Saccharomyces cerevisiae S288C: one gene and its partners. The gene in region 1 interacts genetically with each later gene. Each region holds a gene or a part of one and is shown in the gene's direction. Other genes may lie near its edges.

Region 1 (5,309 bases):
AGAAATGTCACATCATGAAGTACTGAAGTGGAAAGAAATGGGCAAGACCGTTATTGTTTGCAACCACTCAAATACTGAGCGTGGATTCCTTCAAGACGTTATGAAGGGCTTGTTGCAAGATGAGGGCCACGAAGTAGTCGTAAGCAAAATGGATTGCGATCCTTTGACTGTTGCATAGCTGCTAGTAATTATATGGCTATATAGGATATCACAAATACCATACGTACTACAGTTTTATCATCCGGCTGTTCGTGTAAAATGATGTTGTTGTATCGGATAGAGAAATACGGATAGAAAAGGTAAAAGTCTTCAAATAACAAGGACAATAACATACTCTGTATTGAAGACGAAGTACTCAGCAAAGCGTAACGTAATTACACTTAGCACACAAATATACTCACACAAATATTACAAGGCATGTCGACGGATACCATGTATTTCAACAGCTCCAGGCTGTTGCCATCGGCTGGCAGGAACAAGACAAATAATCTAATCAAACAAAAAACTAGAAATAATCGTGCGAGGGGAAATGCTGCTAAGAACGCCAATAATAACAACTATATCACAGATATACCACCTCCTCAAACTCTTCCTAACGGTCAGAAACCTAACTTCGGCCATTCTTCCAACAAGAAACCATCATTTAATCAAAAGAAGCACTCTCCACCTTCTTCCCCTTCCTCTACAACTACTTTAGGTAAAAAAAACAGACAGAATAATAAAGAAACGCCACGACAGAACAACAAAGATGATACTCGTTTACTGAGTCAGAACCTAAAGAATCTGCTTCTGAACCAGAAACAATCCCCGCATGGCTCTCAAGGGATAATACCAATGGGTTGTAATGGCAGTGCCAAAAAACTCAGTCACTCTTATGCAGGCTCCACTTTCGCCACTAATGGTCCAAGGGAGGCTAAAAACTTGCCCAAACCAAGTTTTTTATAATCACCCTTTAGAGAGACATTTTTGATTTTTTTTTTTTTTTTTTTTTTTTTTTTTTTAGAATAATGCATATTTTTATTTGATATATACCTATGTACCAATTATACGAATGCTTATGTCTGTTTTGGATCTGGTCATCCAAAGCAATTTCTCAGATGACAATTTTTTTTTCCTATTTTCTGTTACAGTTCATCATTATGCTGAAGAAAAATGAAACATGGCGGTGAATAATAAATAACACATTCGTACAACAAATCTTGTGGTAGAAAACCTAAAAAAAACCAATACGATAGAAAATGGATGAAGTCTTACCATTGTTTCGCGATTCTCATATTCCACAGATTAAAGATTATCAATTGGAGTTACAGAACGATTTGACTAAAACCAATGAGGCCTTCCAAAAGAATTTGCTAAAGAACTATAACAAGATCTTAAGCTTGACCGATTCTGTTAATGACTTGTCGCTCAATTTGAAAAATGTTGATCAAGATTTTAAATCCCTGTGTTTCAATGATGAAAAATTTCAGTTGAATAAGTTAACTCCACTACCATACCAAACCACTACCCATATATCACCACCTCGTGACGAAGAAAAAGTCAGCATACCATCGCAAAACATTTTAGTAATTTCAAATTGGACCATCTCCATCAACAACTTCTGTAATCGTATAGTTACTTCCACTACTCCGTCGCGGATATTCGACGAGCTACTGTTGAATTTCCACGAATTATCTTTGATACCAGTTCCTTCCAAATTTGAAGCGCTTGTCAAGGACAAATGTTGTCGACTACAGAAGTTCTTGGTGGACTCTATGAAGACATTAAACTTAACTTTACTACAGTGGGTAAAACTATACAATTTACTAAACACGGAGTTTTCCTCGAAGTGGGACGATGATTTACTTTCTATATTCAATGAATCCCTATTCGAGACACTATTTAACGATAACGTTCAAGCGTTACTGATATCAAGTGCCAACAGCAAAGATCATCAATATCACTCCAATCAGCAATATAAGGACGCGATTGTTGTCGATTTTGTGAATTCGTCCACCTTTAGAGACCATCTCATTCGGAGAACCGTGAAAGAAATAAACACACATTTGGATACACTCTCTACTTTGAGAGCCAAGCTTAAGGAGCCTGAAACTCTTCATAAATTAGATATCTTCCATGATAATGATACGAACCTCAATGATGGCACTGTATCTCCACTTGATGATGATGCATTGAAACAATATATTGATACAGCGGTATTCTATTCAAAAGGTTTAACCAATGATACCACGTTGCAAATTTATCAAACGGTGCAGCCTACGATTGAAATCCTACAAAACTTAGAATTGTATAAATGCCCTCAAGAGACACTGACAGATTTGAGAAATAAATTGATTACTCAATTGCAAGAGTTTAAGACTCAGATCTCATCCCGCTTACCTTCACCACTGGAAAACTCAACGAGTGTTGTGGATGATTTTATAACTTCGTACAACAATCACAATCTCTTGCAATTAGTCATCGATCAAATTACTCAATTAAGGCAACAGTAATATAATAGCACGAGGGAGGGTACCCGCCTCGCAAACTTATTGATAATGATAATGGTATGGGCGTTGATATATACATATATATATATATATATATATATATATATATATACATAATATATATATGTTTATCTGTGTGTATCTATGTGGACTTCAATAAGTGATCGCCTTCTTGATATCATATTACTCCCCCATTTCACCTGAATTAATTTCGGAATACATGAGTAAGCTCTTGGACCGAATCATTACTAGGCTTCATGACTGTTGAATATACTGCATCCGATTTGGCAACCTATCAGAATGAGGTGAACGAACAAATTGCCAAGAATAAAGCACATCTTGAATCATTGACTCATCCAGGTTCGAAAGTGACATTTCCGATCGATCAAGATATTTCTGCTACACCTCAAAACCCGAACTTAAAAGTTTTCTTTTTTGATATCGACAACTGTCTCTATAAATCATCCACGAGAATTCACGATCTTATGCAACAATCTATACTGAGGTTCTTTCAAACACACTTGAAACTATCACCTGAAGATGCTCACGTTTTGAATAACTCTTACTACAAAGAGTATGGACTTGCCATAAGGGGACTTGTAATGTTCCACAAAGTGAACGCACTGGAATATAACCGGCTTGTGGATGATTCCTTACCACTACAAGATATCTTGAAACCTGATATACCATTAAGGAATATGCTGTTGAGATTGAGACAATCGGGAAAGATTGATAAATTGTGGCTTTTCACCAACGCTTATAAAAACCACGCAATACGTTGCCTGAGATTGTTGGGTATAGCGGATTTATTTGATGGATTGACATATTGTGACTACTCTAGGACAGATACGCTGGTCTGCAAACCACATGTTAAAGCATTTGAAAAAGCCATGAAGGAAAGCGGGTTGGCAAGATACGAGAATGCTTATTTTATAGATGACAGTGGGAAAAACATCGAGACAGGTATCAAATTGGGCATGAAAACATGTATTCATTTAGTTGAGAATGAAGTAAATGAAATTTTGGGGCAAACACCAGAAGGCGCTATTGTCATTAGTGATATATTGGAGTTACCACACGTTGTGTCCGACCTGTTCTAAGGTATATCAATTTTAAGTATAATTGTATATAAATCTACTTGCATTAGATGCCTCTATAAAATAAAATAAACCAAAAAAAAAAAATAAATTGCACCCCCCGTAAGTTCTCATTTACGTAAAGGTTGGGCTTGTTGCTTCTTTTGTTTGGCAACAGCATAAATAATACCTGATAGGAAACCAATAAAAATGGAGAGAATAGATAAGAAGTTTCTTGGAGCATCAAAGAAAATCAAACCAGACAAGGCAATTGGCAGCTTGTTCAAAGCCCCTACCATCGAATATGTAGTAGACGAAGTAACACGAACACACCAACCGGAACAGTAAGAAATACCGACGGATGCAACACCACTGATGATCATAGCAGTTAGCGAATCGTTAGAAAAGTTATTGGTCAAATTAACTGAAGACCAATCTTCCACACAGAAAGAAAACAGCAATAGAATAGGTAGAGCCAAAACATTGTTGTAAAACATAGTGTCGAAATCCTTGAAGTTAGTTAACTTAATTCTCTTTCTCATTATAAGAACGAATAATGCAGAAGTGATACAGTTGGTGAACATCCAGAAATAACCTGGGTTAAAGGAGGCAACAGCACCGGCTGCTCCTTCAGCCAATGAAGCAGCCTTGGCAGCCACAGCTTGCTGGTCACCCCAAGTTGCAACGACAGAAGAAAGGACCATCAACAAAAATGATGACAATTCCATGGAGGTGACAGAGCCACCAAAAAAGAGAACCTCACCATAAGCAATCAAGATAATAGTCAAATTCTTGAAAATGGTGTAAATTGGAACAGCCAAGTATTGTAAAGCCTTCGAAGAGGTGTAGATCATCAAGACCAGTAAAAAGGAAATAGGGAACCAGTTCTTGGCGTCTGTTTTGTTTAATGAACGGAACTTCGCATAGCCCAGTATACGTAGGATAATCAAGGTTATAGTACAAACCAAAGATTGCACGAAAAGCATGACAAAGTTCATGTTGAAATCCTTCAAATTGACGACGAACTTGTTAGTCACCGTCATTAAAATAGAGGAACCACAGTAGGATAAAATAGAGATCGGACCGGAATTGGCAACTGAAGCCCAAGGGTTATGGCCTGCATGACCTGTTTTCAATTCAGACATTCGGGCGAAAGATACTGTGTGGTTAGTGTGTTTGTTTTCTTAGGCTCTTTTGGTAATTAAGAGGATGTCAACAATTAATCGGCAACAAGAAATAGGCTTGGCAGCGTTATATATATTCTGTTTTTCTGTTCATTGTTTGTTCGGATCGCGAAATTTCAATTTTTTTCTTTCTTTTTTTTTTTTTCGGCCAAAACTATTATCCAAGGCTGGGTAAGAGGATTCTGAAAAACCCGTTTAGCTTTTCGTATATTGCGATTCATTACGCGTTTAGGCGACGTGTCTTCTTTCGTCAACTGTGATATTTTTCGTGTTATGGGCGGCTAATTCTTTATAAAAAGGGAAATTTAATCATTATGGCAAACTCAAATGGTGTTCCTACATCTATATACCACCATGCCACTTTGTACCACCAGTCATATATTTTCTTCTACTCATAAGGGAGCCGCATATATATATGGCGCACATTGCCATGGTCCATTACAAGCTTTTTTCTCGTAGCACTTTAGAATGTCTATTGAGTTGCAATATTCAGGCAAAAATGCGTTCTATCTTCAGAATGTAGCTGTTGAAATTGTTGTTTGACTTTTTTTGGACTAGTA
Region 2 (4,665 bases), on another chromosome or scaffold:
ATTGGCCCACTTACGTTGACCAAAATCCCCTTACAATGCATAAAATTATTCAATTAATTCTCTGGTCCATACATCCATCAAGGCAATTTGATCACTATGAATCTAATCAACTGGTAGCGAAATTATTACTATTGCGAATAAATTCAACAGATGAGGATTTGCACGAATTCCAGATAGAAGATGCCATTTGGTCATTGGTTTTCCAATTAGCCAAAAATTTTTCGGCCCAAAAGAGGGTGGTATCATATATGATGCCTTCTTTGTATCGCCTGCTTAATATACTAATTACTTATGGCATCATTAAGGTCCCTACGTATATCAGAAAGCTAATCAGTTCCGGCCTACTTTATCTCCAAGATTCCAATGATAAGTTTGTGCATGTCCAGCTGTTAATTAACTTGAAAATTTCACCGTTGATGAAAAGTCAATACAATATGGTATTGAGGAACGTTATGGAATATGACGTTAAATTTTATGAAATTTTTAATTTCGACCAACTCGTGGAAATCACAGAACAAATCAAAATGCGAATACTCTCCAATGATATAACTAATTTGCAACTGTCGAAAACTCCTCTGAGCATTAAAATCATGGTTGCAGAATGGTACTTATCACATTTATGTTCCGGTATTTTATCTAGTGTTAACCGCACAGTGTTGCTAAAAATATTCAAGATTTTTTGTATCGATCTGGAGGTTTTCCACCACTTTTTTAAGTGGATCGAGTTTATTGTCTACCATCAATTGCTAAGTGATATAGAATCTCTGGAGGCATTGATGGACATCTTGCTATGCTACCAAAAATTGTTCTCACAATTCATTAATGACCATATTCTTTTTACGAAGACGTTCATATTCATTTACAAGAAAGTTTTGAAAGAAAAAGACGTGCCTGCTTATAATGTGACTTCATTTATGCCATTCTGGAAATTTTTTATGAAAAACTTCCCTTTTGTTTTAAAGGTGGATAACGATTTAAGGATTGAGTTACAATCTGTTTACAATGATGAGAAATTGAAAACTGAGAAGCTGAAGAATGATAAATCAGAAGTCTTGAAGGTGTATTCCATGATCAATAATTCAAACCAAGCTGTTGGACAGACTTGGAATTTTCCCGAGGTGTTTCAAGTAAACATCAGGTTTCTACTACACAACTCCGAGATCATTGATACAAATACAAGCAAACAGTTCCAGAAAGCACGAAACAATGTCATGCTTTTGATTGCCACTAACTTGAAGGAGTACAATAAATTTATGTCCATTTTCTTGAAAAGGAAAGACTTTACTAACAAAAATTTAATTCAATTGATCTCTCTAAAACTTCTAACTTTTGAAGTGACGCAGAATGTGTTGGGGCTCGAGTATATTATTCGATTATTACCAATAAACTTGGAAAATAATGACGGCTCATATGGTCTGTTTTTGAAGTATCATAAAGAACAATTCATAAAGTCAAATTTTGAGAAAATTTTACTTACATGTTATGAATTAGAAAAAAAATATCATGGCAACGAATGTGAAATAAATTATTATGAGATCCTATTGAAAATTTTAATAACTTATGGGTCATCTCCCAAATTACTTGCAACATCTACAAAAATCATTATGTTGTTATTGAATGATAGCGTGGAAAACTCATCTAATATTTTGGAGGATATTTTGTACTACTCAACTTGTCCGTCGGAAACCGATCTTAACGATATTCCATTGGGTAGTGGACAACCAGACAATGACACTGTTGTAACCAACGATGATAAAAGTGACGATGATGATCACACAGTCGACGAAATTGATCATGTAGAATATTACGTTATGATGGACTTTGCCAATCTTTGGGTTTTCCAAGCGTTTACCTGTTTCTGCATCAAAAAAATCATGGAGAATAATGAGCCAGCAATGGCAATGGAAGACTTGAAGAACTTCATATTCCAAATTATCGAAATAACTAATTCTAATGATTTATGTTCACAAATATTTGACCAACTGAAGGATATGCAGACCATTGAGATGATAACCCAAATAGTGGAGAAAGATTTCTGCACTTCTTGTTTGCAAAACAACAACCAAAAGATAGATGATAATTACATCGTTGTGGTGATCGAGATTATAACGTCATTATCGATGAGGTTTCAAAGAGAAACTTCTGGTATGATAGTTATTTCCATGGAGAACTATCATTTACTAATAAAGATCATAAGACAATTAAGTGAACTGAACGAAGGAAATTTATCTAAGAGAGAAATCCAAATAGATGCCGTCTTGAAAATTTTTAGCTTTCATCAGGATTCCATTTTCCAACGCATCATCGCTGATTTATCAGCTGATAAACCCACAAGTCCATTCATTGATAGCATATGCAAGCTGTTTGATAAAATATCATTTAATTTAAGATTGAAGCTGTTCTTGTACGAAATTTTGTCTTCATTGAAATCATTCGCCATCTATTCATCCACAATTGATGCCCCAGCATTCCACACAAGCGGTAAGGTCGAACTACCGAAGAAATTGCTGAACTTACCACCATTCCAAGTGTCCTCTTTCGTTAAGGAAACAAAACTTCATAGTGGCGACTACGGGGAAGAAGAAGATGCAGACCAAGAAGAATCGTTTAGTTTAAATTTAGGAATCGGCATAGTTGAAATAGCGCACGAAAACGAACAGAAATGGCTCATTTATGACAAGAAAGATCATAAATATGTCTGCACATTTTCCATGGAGCCGTACCACTTCATCTCCAACTATAATACCAAGTACACAGATGACATGGCTACAGGCAGTAATGATACGACTGCGTTTAACGATTCCTGTGTAAACCTGAGTCTTTTTGATGCTCGGTTTGAGAGGAAAAATCCACATTGATCTCAGAATATATCCAAATGGATAAATTATAAATTTACCAATAACAGTAATTATGTGTCAGTTTTAATACCCAACCAATTGATTCCTCTAAATGATACCGTACCAAATGACATGTTTGCCACCGATTATAAAACTGGGGTTTATGAGCGATGGTTAAGGAGGATTAAGACAAAGTGCTCATCCGCTTACAAGATCAGTACTAGCGTGTACCAGTCTATTTAAACTGGAATGATCACCCCAAAGGGAACGCACGATGCTGTGGCCAAGTTTCAAAAAACTGACCTGCATCAAGATCTCGATTACATCGTACTGCAACAACGAAGAACACAGCTAGAGACGCTTATTAACGAAAGAGAATCTTTTGTCAAGAATCTGTGTTCTCTTTTCCACAAAATTCAAAATACCAAGAATTACCAGGAATTTGTTGATGTATTGGCGGAGAATAGGGATTTACTGCGAGAAATTTTCACTGTAGAGAACGGATTTCAAAAGCAAAAATGGATTAGCAACGACGACATTCCCCAGATAGACTGGGACAAGTTTGCCCTAGATATCAACGCTTATATAGCAGAGAACGATCAATTGTTGGCTTTGTATGAAGATGGCTTATTATGATCAAATAGCGGCTATGGACATTTTTAAACATATATTTATATATATATACATATATGCGTATATTGCATAAATCACAAAGAAGAACAACGCCCTAGATATAGTGACCCAAAATATTATGTTTAAGTTACTGGTTGGGGTTCATGTACATTTTTCACTATCTTTTAATTCCAAATGTGGATTGTGCTTCTGCAGATTTTGTTGCCTAGTATTCTGTGATGGAAAAAATTGCCCCGATGAGATATAAAATGAGCTAGCCCCCTAACCAAAGAAAGCAGGATTGGTTAGTACATAGAGAAACCAAAGCTGTTATGTTGTTCTATAAGCCTGTGATGAGGATGGCGGTGAGACCGCTAAAAAGCATAAGATTCCAGTCCTCATACACCAGTATTACTAAATTGACGAACCTAACAGAATTTAGGAATTTGATCAAGCAAAATGATAAACTAGTCATCGATTTTTATGCTACTTGGTGTGGCCCCTGTAAGATGATGCAACCACACTTAACGAAATTAATTCAGGCTTATCCAGATGTAAGATTTGTCAAGTGCGACGTGGACGAATCACCAGATATTGCCAAAGAGTGTGAAGTGACGGCTATGCCCACCTTTGTTCTTGGCAAGGATGGCCAACTCATCGGCAAGATCATTGGAGCTAACCCTACTGCTTTAGAGAAGGGAATCAAAGATCTATAAATTTTATATTCATGAGCACATGTAGTTTTTTTTTTTTTAGTTTTAAATATAAGAAAAAAGATAGTATATATATATATATATATACATATACATATAAAAGGAAAGTAAGCTTATACAATACACAAATAAATTCATATCAAAGAATAATGAACCGCAATATTCAGAAACACAGGAAAAGGAGGGGAAGGGATGAATGGTGAGGAAAGTAACTGTTTGTTTTAAAGCGTACCTGGATCATAACATAACAAATAAGTAGATAAAAAAGAATAGAGAGAAAGATATAATGACAATGAATTGAAGAATAGTTTAGTTAGTTACATTTGTAAAGTGTTCCTTTTGTGTTCTGTTCTTAATTTGGCGCTATTTTTTTATACTTCCAAATCCTTGCTTTACAATCACCGCTACCAGTAGCAAAAACGTTATATTCTGGACCCAGCGGAGACCCGTTTGCCACAGCCACAGATATAACTGAATTCCTATGACCTTGCAACATCAATAAC
Region 3 (7,254 bases), on another chromosome or scaffold:
TCTACGGACGTTACAATACCTTCCACAGCAAACTACCAAACAAATAGTGCACATGATCTGGACGAAGAAAAGGAGTACTTTTTTGCCAACTGTTTCCCCATGTACAGAAAAAAATTTCAGTTCAACACACACCCCAAATTCCTAGGGACGAAATCCAAATTATTCATCAACCAAAGCATTTCTCCCGATTGCACCAAATTTGCTCTAATTACTGAACACAAGTGGGAAATTTATTCGATTAATCCGAAGGACAACTCTCCTCAACTAGTATCATGTGGCAAGTCTAGTGGAGAATATGGTCCCAACTTCAACCAACTAACAGAGCAATCGTCATCTTCACTCTCCACTACTTCTCAAGCGTCAAAAAAGAAAAAGAAAAACTGGAGCCAACGTTTTTGCAAACTTTCCAATGATTTCTTGATAATATCGGGTTCGCAAAACATTCTTAATGTACACGACATACACCAAAACGGCAAACTCATCTATACCTACGTGTCGAGATTCCCCATCCGATGCATAGACATAGATCCAAGGTCGCAGATAATAGCCTACGGAATCACCGGAAAGGATAGACATACAGGCGCGGAACAAGCATTAGTCGTGATCCAACAAATTACCAGAAATAAAGTGACTTTGGAGCCCGAGTTCCCCCCACCAATCACCATAACACTTCCATACAGAGATCCCATCAATACCATACAACTTTCGCACGACGCCAAGTATCTGACATGTTCGACCGCGCTAGAGTCGCGGTTCTTGATCATATCTTTGCAGAAAATAAACGAACCAAGACTGATAATGAAAAGTGTTCGGTCCATAGACACTTCCTTAGAATCTGAAGGTATCACTGACACAAAACTTTTCCCAGGAAATCCAAATCTGATGTGTATCACATCAACAGCATTCAATTCATCTCCACTGGTCATAAACACCAAAATCACCCAAATTAACGGTGTACGGACCGTGGCACAACCATCCATGCTTATAAGGGTAGATGAGATTGGATGCAAGATTCACAAGTGCGAAATATCACCAAGAAACGACGCAATTGCCTTCCTCGACCGCAACGGATCAGTTTACATCATGTGTGCCCCCACCATGATGGACAACAACGAAAAAAGAAGGACAATCCTCGTTGAAACCGTGGCAAATGCCTACAGGGCTTATGAATCAGCTACTTTGCGGTTTAACCCAGAGGGCAACAAGCTTTATATTCTCGACAGAAAGGGGACTTTCTTTGTGGAAGACTTTGCATATGGCTTGCCCCAATCTCGCGAAATCACCAAATGTAAGCAAATATTCCACAAATAATGCATCTAAATATATACGTATGTTTAAGGTTCTGGTATACAGGTATTAAAAGAAAACACTATCAACATTCCCAATAAGATATACCACACCACGTGAGCTTATAGAAGCACGTGACCACAATTCACCCCACAGGTGTGGCTTTTTTGGTGCCGTAGAAAAGACTCATTCATGAATCGTCGGAAACCCATAGTCATCTTCGAGCAAAAGGTATATATAAGCAACAGAGGGCAGTAGTTCTCGAGACCACCATCTTTTGATTGGAAATAGTTTCGTTTAGATGGGGTGCACATAGTTTTTTTCAACTGCTTTTCCTCGAGGTCACCCAAATATACAACGAGATGCCAGTTGAGTTTGCTACCAATCCTTTTGGCGAGGCCAAAAATGCAACTTCACTGCCAAAATATGGTACACCCGTAACTGCCATTTCATCTGTGCTGTTCAATAACGTGGACTCCATTTTTGCTTACAAGTCCTTTTCTCAACCCGATTTGCTACACCAAGATCTAAAAAAATGGTCTGAAAAGCGTGGTAACGAATCACGTGGGAAGCCATTTTTCCAAGAGCTGGATATCAGATCTGGCGCTGGTTTGGCTCCTTTAGGGTTTTCTCATGGATTGAAGAACACTACAGCAATTGTTGCTCCAGGGTTTTCGCTGCCATACTTCATTAACTCTTTGAAAACCGTCTCTCATGATGGTAAGTTTCTTTTGAATGTTGGTGCTTTAAACTACGACAATGCTACCGGCTCTGTCACCAACGATTATGTAACCGCATTGGATGCTGCTTCCAAGCTGAAGTATGGTGTCGTGACTCCGATTTCCGCTAACGAGGTACAAAGTGTCGCCTTACTGGCATTGGCGATTGCCACTTTCAGTAATAACTCCGGAGCTATCAATTTATTTGACGGATTAAACTACTCGAAAACCGTCTTGCCGTTGGTCGAATCTGTTCCTGAGGCATCTATTTTGGCAAAACTATCCAAAGTTATTGCACCAGATGCTGCCTTTGATGATGTCTTGGATAAGTTTAATGAATTGACTGGATTGAGACTACATAATTTCCAATACTTTGGTGCTCAGGATGCTGAAACTGTGTTTATCACTTATGGGTCTTTAGAATCCGAATTGTTCAACTCTGCGATTAGTGGTAATAATTCCAAAATCGGGTTAATCAACGTCAGAGTGCCATTACCTTTTAACGTTGCTAAGTTTGTCACTCACGTTCCATCCACTACCAAACAAATTGTTGTTATAGGCCAAACTTTGGATGGTTCTTCGCCTTCTTTCTTGAGATCTCAAGTTTCAGCCGCCTTATTTTACCACGGCCGCACCTCAATTAGCGTTTCTGAGTACATCTATCAACCAGATTTCATTTGGTCCCCAAAAGCTGTCAAATCAATTGTATCGTCATTCATCCCTGAATTCACTTACAATGCCGATTCATCTTTCGGCGAAGGATTCATTTATTGGGCCTCTGATAAGAGTATCAATATTGATGTTGCCTCCAAACTTGTGAAAGCTCTGTCTTTGGAAGATGGGAAATTTGTGTCTTTGAGAACGAAATTTGATAACTTGGCTAATGCTGGTACCTTCCAAGCTCAATTTGTGACCTCGAAAGAACAGATACCTGTTTCAAACATCGATTCTACGAAATTATCAGTCGTTGAAGATGTCAGTTTATTGAAGCATTTAGACGTAGCTGCTACCGTCGCAGAACAAGGTTCAATTGCGTTGGTTTCCCAAAAGGCAGTTAAAGATTTGGATTTAAATTCTGTAGAAAGTTACGTCAAGAATTTGGGAATTCCTGAATCATTCCTAATATCTATTGCGAAGAAAAACATCAAATTGTTTATCATCGATGGTGAGACCACTAACGACGAGTCCAAATTGTCCTTGTTTATCCAAGCCGTTTTCTGGAAATTGGCCTTCGGTCTAGATGTCGCAGAATGTACCAACCGTATCTGGAAAAGCATTGATTCAGGTGCAGACATTTCAGCAGCCTCGATTTCTGAATTTCTCACTGGTGCATTCAAAAACTTCCTCAGTGAGGTTCCGCTAGCGCTGTACACTAAATTTTCTGAAATAAACATTGAAAAGAAAGAGGATGAGGAAGAGCCTGCAGCTTTACCAATTTTCGTTAATGAAACATCTTTCCTCCCAAATAACAGTACCATTGAAGAAATACCATTACCTGAGACCTCTGAGATCTCTGATATTGCCAAGAAGTTGTCCTTCAAAGAGGCATATGAAGTTGAGAATAAACTAAGACCCGATTTACCCGTCAAGAACTTCGTCGTGAAAGTTAAAGAAAATAGACGTGTTACGCCTGCTGATTATGATAGATATATTTTCCATATTGAATTCGATATTTCTGGTACTGGAATGACTTATGACATCGGTGAAGCCCTCGGTATTCATGCCAGAAACAATGAATCTTTGGTCAAAGAATTCTTAACCTTCTATGGTCTAAATGAATCCGATGTTGTCTTAGTCCCCAACAAGGACAACCACCATTTGTTAGAAACAAGAACCGTCTTACAAGCATTTGTGGAAAATTTGGATATTTTCGGTAAACCACCAAAAAGATTTTACGAATCATTGATTCCATATGCCTCTAACGAAGAGGAGAAGAAAAAATTAGAGGATTTGGTTACTCCTGCCGGTGCAGTAGATTTGAAGAGATTTCAAGATGTGGAGTATTATACATATGCTGACATTTTTGAATTGTTCCCATCTGTTCGCCCATCTCTTGAGGAACTTGTTACTATCATTGAACCATTGAAGAGAAGAGAATACTCAATTGCCTCCTCTCAGAAAGTTCATCCAAATGAAGTTCATTTATTGATCGTTGTTGTTGATTGGGTGGATAATAAAGGAAGAAAAAGGTACGGTCAAGCTTCTAAGTATATCTCAGACCTTGCTGTCGGTTCAGAATTGGTCGTTAGCGTTAAACCATCTGTTATGAAATTACCACCATCTCCAAAGCAACCAGTTATTATGAGTGGTTTAGGTACTGGTTTGGCACCATTCAAGGCCATTGTTGAAGAGAAATTATGGCAAAAGCAGCAAGGTTATGAGATTGGTGAAGTCTTCCTATATCTAGGTTCAAGACACAAAAGAGAAGAATATTTATATGGTGAGTTATGGGAGGCTTACAAAGATGCAGGTATTATCACACACATCGGCGCTGCTTTCTCAAGAGACCAACCTCAAAAAATTTACATTCAAGATCGTATCAAAGAGAATTTGGATGAATTAAAAACTGCAATGATTGATAATAAAGGTTCATTTTACTTGTGTGGCCCTACTTGGCCAGTTCCAGATATTACTCAAGCTTTGCAAGACATTCTGGCTAAAGACGCCGAGGAAAGAGGCATCAAAGTCGACTTGGATGCCGCAATTGAAGAATTAAAGGAAGCATCAAGATACATTTTAGAAGTCTACTAAATTAATATAGTAATAAAAACTAAATATCTATTTATTGAACCTGTCTTGAACATTTCTATTTTTTTTTTACTTTTAGTTTTCTTCTATGCGCAAGCTTTTCTATTGGCTGCCAAATAGAAAATTATTGAAATATGATTACATTACAATATTTATTTGTCTTATGAAAACTAACCATCACATTATACTAACTACGGAGGTACCATCTTGAAATCTCGTCCTGAAGACCCTATTAGCATTGGCAAACATACCTTCTTTAAGCGAGACTACAATGAACTGAGATCCTTTAAACCTTGTTTTAATCAAATGACCTATATTTTGCGTATGACTTAAATCAAGAGCAGCATCAACTTCATCCAAAATATACATAGGCGCTGGTCGAAATTGCAACAATGCCATAATCAATGACAAAGCAATCAACGACCTTTGCCCACCGGACAATTCAATCAAACTTTCCTTCCATATATTACCAAGCTTTACTTTAACCTCTAAACCCTGCGTTACGTCCTTACCTTCGCATGGAACCAATTTTGCAAATGAATTTGGTAAAAGGTCTGCAAAAATATTACCAAAATCAAGTGTCACTTTCTCCCATGTTTTGACTAAAGTTTCTCTTTTATATTCGTTCAACTTCGATATAGTCTCTTGGATTTTCATCTTATCTTTTTCAATCGTTTTAATCATTGTTTTTAATGCTGCCTCCTTTTTCTCAACATTTTCTATCATATTCATAATATTTGGATTAACTTTTTTTCTGAGCTCTTGAAACTTCTCGTTCAATTGTTTACTCCTTTCTCTGTAAGTATCCAAATCGATACCCTCATTTTGTTTGACGATATTTCTCACCAGATCAAAATCCTCAAGAAATTCGTGTTTCTGTCGCAGATCTTCAATTATCTTTTCCATGTTGTTCGTATTAGACTTATATTTGTTCAAGTCATGGACCAATTTTTGTAGTTCTAATTCACTGCTTTTTTTCTCGTCCTGTTTTTTCTTTATCAATGTTTCTAATTCATTTAGTTCATCATCAATGTCCATCAACCTTTTCTTTTCTTCGTTCAGTTCTGTCTGGACTGTTACAAGGTCGTCTTCAACACCTCGTATCTTTCCCTCCAAATCAGAATTTTCCAATTTCAAACTTTCAATAGATTTCAAATGGTTATGCAATAGCGTCTTATTAGAATCTAGTTCTGAGCTCAATTGCTCTGTTTCTAATTCCAAGTTTTGAAACAAGTCATATTTACGTTCTGACTCCGATTCCTGCTCCTCCAGCTCTTTCGCCAATAGTTTCAATTCCTTCTTTAATTCATTTAACTTGGATCCTTTATCGCTATCGTACTCCTTCATGTCTTTTTCAATGGTCGAAACTTCTTCTTGACATTTCTTTAAGCTCATTTGCTTGGTTTTGATTTCATTCTCACACTCTCCAATGTCCCTCAAAATTTCTTCATTCCTAGCAATTATTTGGGAAGATGGATTCGCGTCGAGATTACGCTTAGCCAAATCCAATTTATGCAACGAGAGATTTAAATCACTTTGAATGGTCTTTGTTTTTTGCGATGTAGCATATTGCGTCTGTAGCTCTTCCGTTACATGGTTGAGATCAGCCTGAATGGTCTCAATTTGTTTTTGAATTTGATTGTATTTTTGAATATCAACTAATAACGATTCAGAGGTATTTCTACTACCACCAGACAATGTACCCTCTGGGTCGTATACATCACCTTGAAGGGTGATACTTCTAGCGCGGATCTTTGGATGGAAGGTAATTTTCTTTGCTGTTTCCGGATCTTCACAGATTAAACTATTTCCAAAAATAAATTCCATCGCTTTAGTGATAGATTCATCAAACCTTATTAAATTTATTGCCAATTCAACTTTCCCAGGAGCAATTTTCTTGGCTAAATCAAGCACTTGAGAACTTATTGGCCTCGTATATATCTTATCAAGAGGTATGATGGTAACACGCTTGCGTAATCTTCCTCTTTCTAATAGCTGAGTGGCCGTCTGAGAATCTTGAACAACAACATTGAATAGCCTACCTCCGGCACAAGTTTGCAAAGCAGTAGCATAGCGAATATTATCATTATCTATCTGGAAAAGTTGACCCACCACCCCATGGACAAAGCTGGCTTCAAAATTAGGATAAGGTTTCGTATAGTTAAATTCCAGATTTGTTACGCGTCTTTTTAAATATTCAGAGTTCTTACATGTTTGATAATAATGGCTCTTCAATTTATCCTCTCTTTGCTTCAGGTCTTTAATTCGTGATGGATCAAACCCATATTCGACTAGTCGGGCTCGTAGTTTATCGCACGTTTCTTGGCATTGTTTAACATGCTTCACATTTAACTCGTTATCTTTCGTGGCCTCCTTTAATTTAGGTTCAATTGTCAATAGCTCTTTCTTCAACAACTCCATTTTCATGCTTGATTTTTTTATCGCCAAGGAGACTTCATTCAGCTCAGTCTTTGCCTTGGCCAACTGTGCGTTATAACCA
Region 4 (4,561 bases), on another chromosome or scaffold:
CCGACAGAAGAACCTGTACAGAAGGAAACACAGGACGCCAGCGACAGCGACAGCGACAGCGACGATGACTACAATCCGGGCTTATCCATGGATTTCCTCACTGCATGAGCCGAGATACATAAGGTTGAAGATTACTATTTAGACTATCTATCTATACGTATACACCGCAATATACAAACAGAAAAAAAAAAAAAGAAAAAGCATTCGTAAGAACTCACAGCTCCAGAGCACGAACATACTGGTACGCCAAATCACATATTTCGTTGCTGGTGTCCGGCCCCAACGAGTCGGATGAGGTTTTGTACTCCTTGGCCCGGATTTCAGCTAGGTGTCCTTCGATGCCTGCAATCTTGGTCTCAAACTCGCCCGCTTCGTCCGCCTGCAGTTCTATCAGGAGACCCTTGAACCCAGTGGAGGAGAAGAGGTTGACGAGTCGCACGGTGAGCCCGTCCAAGATCAACGTCTCACCGGCATCACCCTTGATGAGCTGCCTCTGCATCCAGATGTTGGACAGCTTGGACGACAAAATAGTGTCTATGGACTCAGGAACGCCCGTAGATGAGCCATTGAACACCAGCGCCGGAGGGATATCCGCCGCTGCGGCAGTCGTCACCATCGCTGAGTTGTCCTTGATTAGCACGGTCTGCCGGCCATGGTGGTGGAACGTTATCGAGTACATGAGCTTGGAGACATCCGCGGGTAGGTTCTTGATAGAGCACCGGTACGTCCGAAAGTCTATCGACCAAGGGTCTCGCACGGACAGGATACTATTCGAGAGAGCATCCTTCAGTTCCGTTAGTGTAGCGGGAGTGGCTCTTTCCACGAATATAACGCTATATACATAAAAGAGAGAAAAAAAAAACTGTTGTTAGCAACAGGTAGTTCAATTGAAGAAATTCCGATGCGCCACGAAGGACGCTCCAGCTTTACATACGCTGATTTTCCCATGATGGATTGCTACTGTGCTTTCGAGCGCCGACTTACAAGATTTGCTCTTCCAGTAAAATTTCACTTTGGGAATCACACCGCGAAACTGGCATACTAACGCATAAGAAAACACAAGAAGAGAAACAACGATAAAATCACGCGGCGACATCTACAGTCCACCTGCCCCTTCCTTCGCTCAATTGCACTTTCCCATGCGCACTACCCATCTATATAGCTATGTATTCTATATCCACGCCTGCAAACGCACACTGTTCGTCCTCAGCCTCTATGCGTACGAGCCAGACCCTTGCTCCCAGTAGATAACGCACGCAAAACTCAAAAGATGGCACACCGGGGGAACAAAGGAGAGTAGAGTCTACCGAACGTCACCGCTGGTACCATGCAGCCATCACTACATACTAGCATCATACTACCACGATCACAGTTCACGACACATCACGTGTGTGCTCGTTTAGCGGTCAACCCGCTATTGTTCTCCAGCCAGCTTTTATCGTTTTGCATTTTTTTTTCGGGCTGCTTTTCGTTCTTCGAGGACAAACGCACCTGTAAAGCTCAGCGCGAGGTTATATATATAGTATAATATGGTGAACAATGTAGCTTAAGTTTGCGTTCCTGTAGTGGTCACCGCTACGCTAGACAACGACCGCGGTTTTCAAGTGATCTACTGTCGCACATATCATGCCGTTTGGAATAGACAACACCGACTTCACTGTCCTGGCGGGGCTAGTGCTTGCCGTGCTACTGTACGTAAAGAGAAACTCCATCAAGGAACTGCTGATGTCCGATGACGGAGATATCACAGCTGTCAGCTCGGGCAACAGAGACATTGCTCAGGTGGTGACCGAAAACAACAAGAACTACTTGGTGTTGTATGCGTCGCAGACTGGGACTGCCGAGGATTACGCCAAAAAGTTTTCCAAGGAGCTGGTGGCCAAGTTCAACCTAAACGTGATGTGCGCAGATGTTGAGAACTACGACTTTGAGTCGCTAAACGATGTGCCCGTCATAGTCTCGATTTTTATCTCTACATATGGTGAAGGAGACTTCCCCGACGGGGCGGTCAACTTTGAAGACTTTATTTGTAATGCGGAAGCGGGTGCACTATCGAACCTGAGGTATAATATGTTTGGTCTGGGAAATTCTACTTATGAATTCTTTAATGGTGCCGCCAAGAAGGCCGAGAAGCATCTCTCCGCCGCGGGCGCTATCAGACTAGGCAAGCTCGGTGAAGCTGATGATGGTGCAGGAACTACAGACGAAGATTACATGGCCTGGAAGGACTCCATCCTGGAGGTTTTGAAAGACGAACTGCATTTGGACGAACAGGAAGCCAAGTTCACCTCTCAATTCCAGTACACTGTGTTGAACGAAATCACTGACTCCATGTCGCTTGGTGAACCCTCTGCTCACTATTTGCCCTCGCATCAGTTGAACCGCAACGCAGACGGCATCCAATTGGGTCCCTTCGATTTGTCTCAACCGTATATTGCACCCATCGTGAAATCTCGCGAACTGTTCTCTTCCAATGACCGTAATTGCATCCACTCTGAATTTGACTTGTCCGGCTCTAACATCAAGTACTCCACTGGTGACCATCTTGCTGTTTGGCCTTCCAACCCATTGGAAAAGGTCGAACAGTTCTTATCCATATTCAACCTGGACCCTGAAACCATTTTTGACTTGAAGCCCCTGGATCCCACCGTCAAAGTGCCCTTCCCAACGCCAACTACTATTGGCGCTGCTATTAAACACTATTTGGAAATTACAGGACCTGTCTCCAGACAATTGTTTTCATCTTTGATTCAGTTCGCCCCCAACGCTGACGTCAAGGAAAAATTGACTCTGCTTTCGAAAGACAAGGACCAATTCGCCGTCGAGATAACCTCCAAATATTTCAACATCGCAGATGCTCTGAAATATTTGTCTGATGGCGCCAAATGGGACACCGTACCCATGCAATTCTTGGTCGAATCAGTTCCCCAAATGACTCCTCGTTACTACTCTATCTCTTCCTCTTCTCTGTCTGAAAAGCAAACCGTCCATGTCACCTCCATTGTGGAAAACTTTCCTAACCCAGAATTGCCTGATGCTCCTCCAGTTGTTGGTGTTACGACTAACTTGTTAAGAAACATTCAATTGGCTCAAAACAATGTTAACATTGCCGAAACTAACCTACCTGTTCACTACGATTTAAATGGCCCACGTAAACTTTTCGCCAATTACAAATTGCCCGTCCACGTTCGTCGTTCTAACTTCAGATTGCCTTCCAACCCTTCCACCCCAGTTATCATGATCGGTCCAGGTACCGGTGTTGCCCCATTCCGTGGGTTTATCAGAGAGCGTGTCGCGTTCCTCGAATCACAAAAGAAGGGCGGTAACAACGTTTCGCTAGGTAAGCATATACTGTTTTATGGATCCCGTAACACTGATGATTTCTTGTACCAGGACGAATGGCCAGAATACGCCAAAAAATTGGATGGTTCGTTCGAAATGGTCGTGGCCCATTCCAGGTTGCCAAACACCAAAAAAGTTTATGTTCAAGATAAATTAAAGGATTACGAAGACCAAGTATTTGAAATGATTAACAACGGTGCATTTATCTACGTCTGTGGTGATGCAAAGGGTATGGCCAAGGGTGTGTCAACCGCATTGGTTGGCATCTTATCCCGTGGTAAATCCATTACCACTGATGAAGCAACAGAGCTAATCAAGATGCTCAAGACTTCAGGTAGATACCAAGAAGATGTCTGGTAATCAGCCCACTGATCAAGCCTTCGGCGCGGTTGTTCAACCACACGATCTGTATCAAAGAAAAATAAGTTAGATAACCAAAAAAAAAAAAAATTTCATACTCACTATAAGAAATCATACGCAGTTCAACTTTTGCTTTTACATACAATTTTATCTATATATTCGTGCTTCTGCGATGTCCTTATTTATTTAATCTCTCGTCAAAGGGTTGTTTACCTGGATAACGATACCGTTCTCATTGTTCTTAACCACGGAAACCTGTGTCAAATCACAGACCACATAATCTGCACCTGCGTCAAATAAAACGCTCTTATCATACGAGGATGTTATACCCACAGTAATTGCGCCCATTGCTTTGCCGGCCTTTATGCCCACGGGTGCATCTTCAAAGACAACATACTTCAGATCCTGTTTACCAGTTAATTGCAAATCTTGACGCAATAAATCACGAGCTCTTGAGTAACCCTCGGGATCAGGCTTACCGTTCTTCACGTCAAATCCAGTAATGAAAACTTTGGGCTTTCCAACATTTTTCAATATTGTCTCGAACCATGAAAATGCCAAATATGGAGAACCAGAGGTAACGATAGCCCATTTCCTTTCAGGTAACTTTTTTTGAGTCTCAGTATCTACATCTAACGATAACAATAAATTCTCTGCACCAGGGATAAGGCTTACTGTGTCCAAATAATTATCTGCCATATCCTTTTCTAACGCAAGAACACCTTTATTATCGGTATTGTCCAATTTTGGAAAAAATTTCTTCATCATTTCTTGTGATCTTGCACCATGGGAATGCTTGAATAACTCAACAGGATCAACCCCATGCTGACGGCATAATTTTTTCCAGGCACTTTCCGCT

The links.
Region 2: mutations in SDT1 (region 1) and TRX3 together harm fitness more than expected from each alone (negative genetic interaction), as found in Saccharomyces cerevisiae (one large-scale study listed by BioGRID).
Region 3: mutations in SDT1 (region 1) and MET10 together harm fitness more than expected from each alone (negative genetic interaction), as found in Saccharomyces cerevisiae (one large-scale study listed by BioGRID).
Region 4: mutations in SDT1 (region 1) and NCP1 together harm fitness less than expected from each alone (positive genetic interaction), as found in Saccharomyces cerevisiae (one large-scale study listed by BioGRID).

Annotation. Positions count from the first base shown.
Region 1 is NC_001139.9:76,295-81,603, reverse strand, and holds SDT1 (nucleotidase), read left to right. Parts: upstream 1-2,746; coding exon 2,747-3,589; downstream 3,590-5,309. Other genes in the region: NIF3 (uncharacterized protein), read left to right, coding at 1-178; EDC1 (Edc1p), read left to right, coding at 418-945; Golgi transport complex subunit COG1, read left to right, coding at 1,239-2,492; VRG4 (GDP-mannose transporter), read right to left, coding at 3,697-4,710. UniProt on the Saccharomyces cerevisiae protein: Could be an enzyme that inactivates 6-azauracil by modifying it.
Region 2 is NC_001135.5:255,797-260,461, forward strand, and holds TRX3 (Trx3p), read left to right. Parts: upstream 1-3,781; coding exon 3,782-4,165; downstream 4,166-4,665. Other genes in the region: SRB8 (Srb8p), read left to right, coding at 1-2,858; AHC2 (Ahc2p), read left to right, coding at 3,087-3,473; chromatin-silencing transcriptional regulator TUP1, read right to left, coding at 4,515-4,665.
Region 3 is NC_001138.5:211,663-218,916, forward strand, and holds MET10 (sulfite reductase subunit alpha), read left to right. Parts: upstream 1-1,649; coding exon 1,650-4,757; downstream 4,758-7,254. Other genes in the region: PTR3 (Ptr3p), read left to right, coding at 1-1,311; condensin subunit SMC2, read right to left, coding at 4,932-7,254. UniProt on the Saccharomyces cerevisiae protein: This enzyme catalyzes the 6-electron reduction of sulfite to sulfide. This is one of several activities required for the biosynthesis of L-cysteine from sulfate.
Region 4 is NC_001140.6:188,917-193,477, forward strand, and holds NCP1 (NADPH--hemoprotein reductase), read left to right. Parts: upstream 1-1,626; coding exon 1,627-3,702; downstream 3,703-4,561. Other genes in the region: BCD1 (Bcd1p), read left to right, coding at 1-108; SRB2 (Srb2p), read right to left, coding at 215-833, 935-948; DOG2 (2-deoxyglucose-6-phosphatase), read right to left, coding at 3,889-4,561. UniProt on the Saccharomyces cerevisiae protein: This enzyme is required for electron transfer from NADP to cytochrome P450 in microsomes. It can also provide electron transfer to heme oxygenase and cytochrome B5. Involved in ergosterol biosynthesis.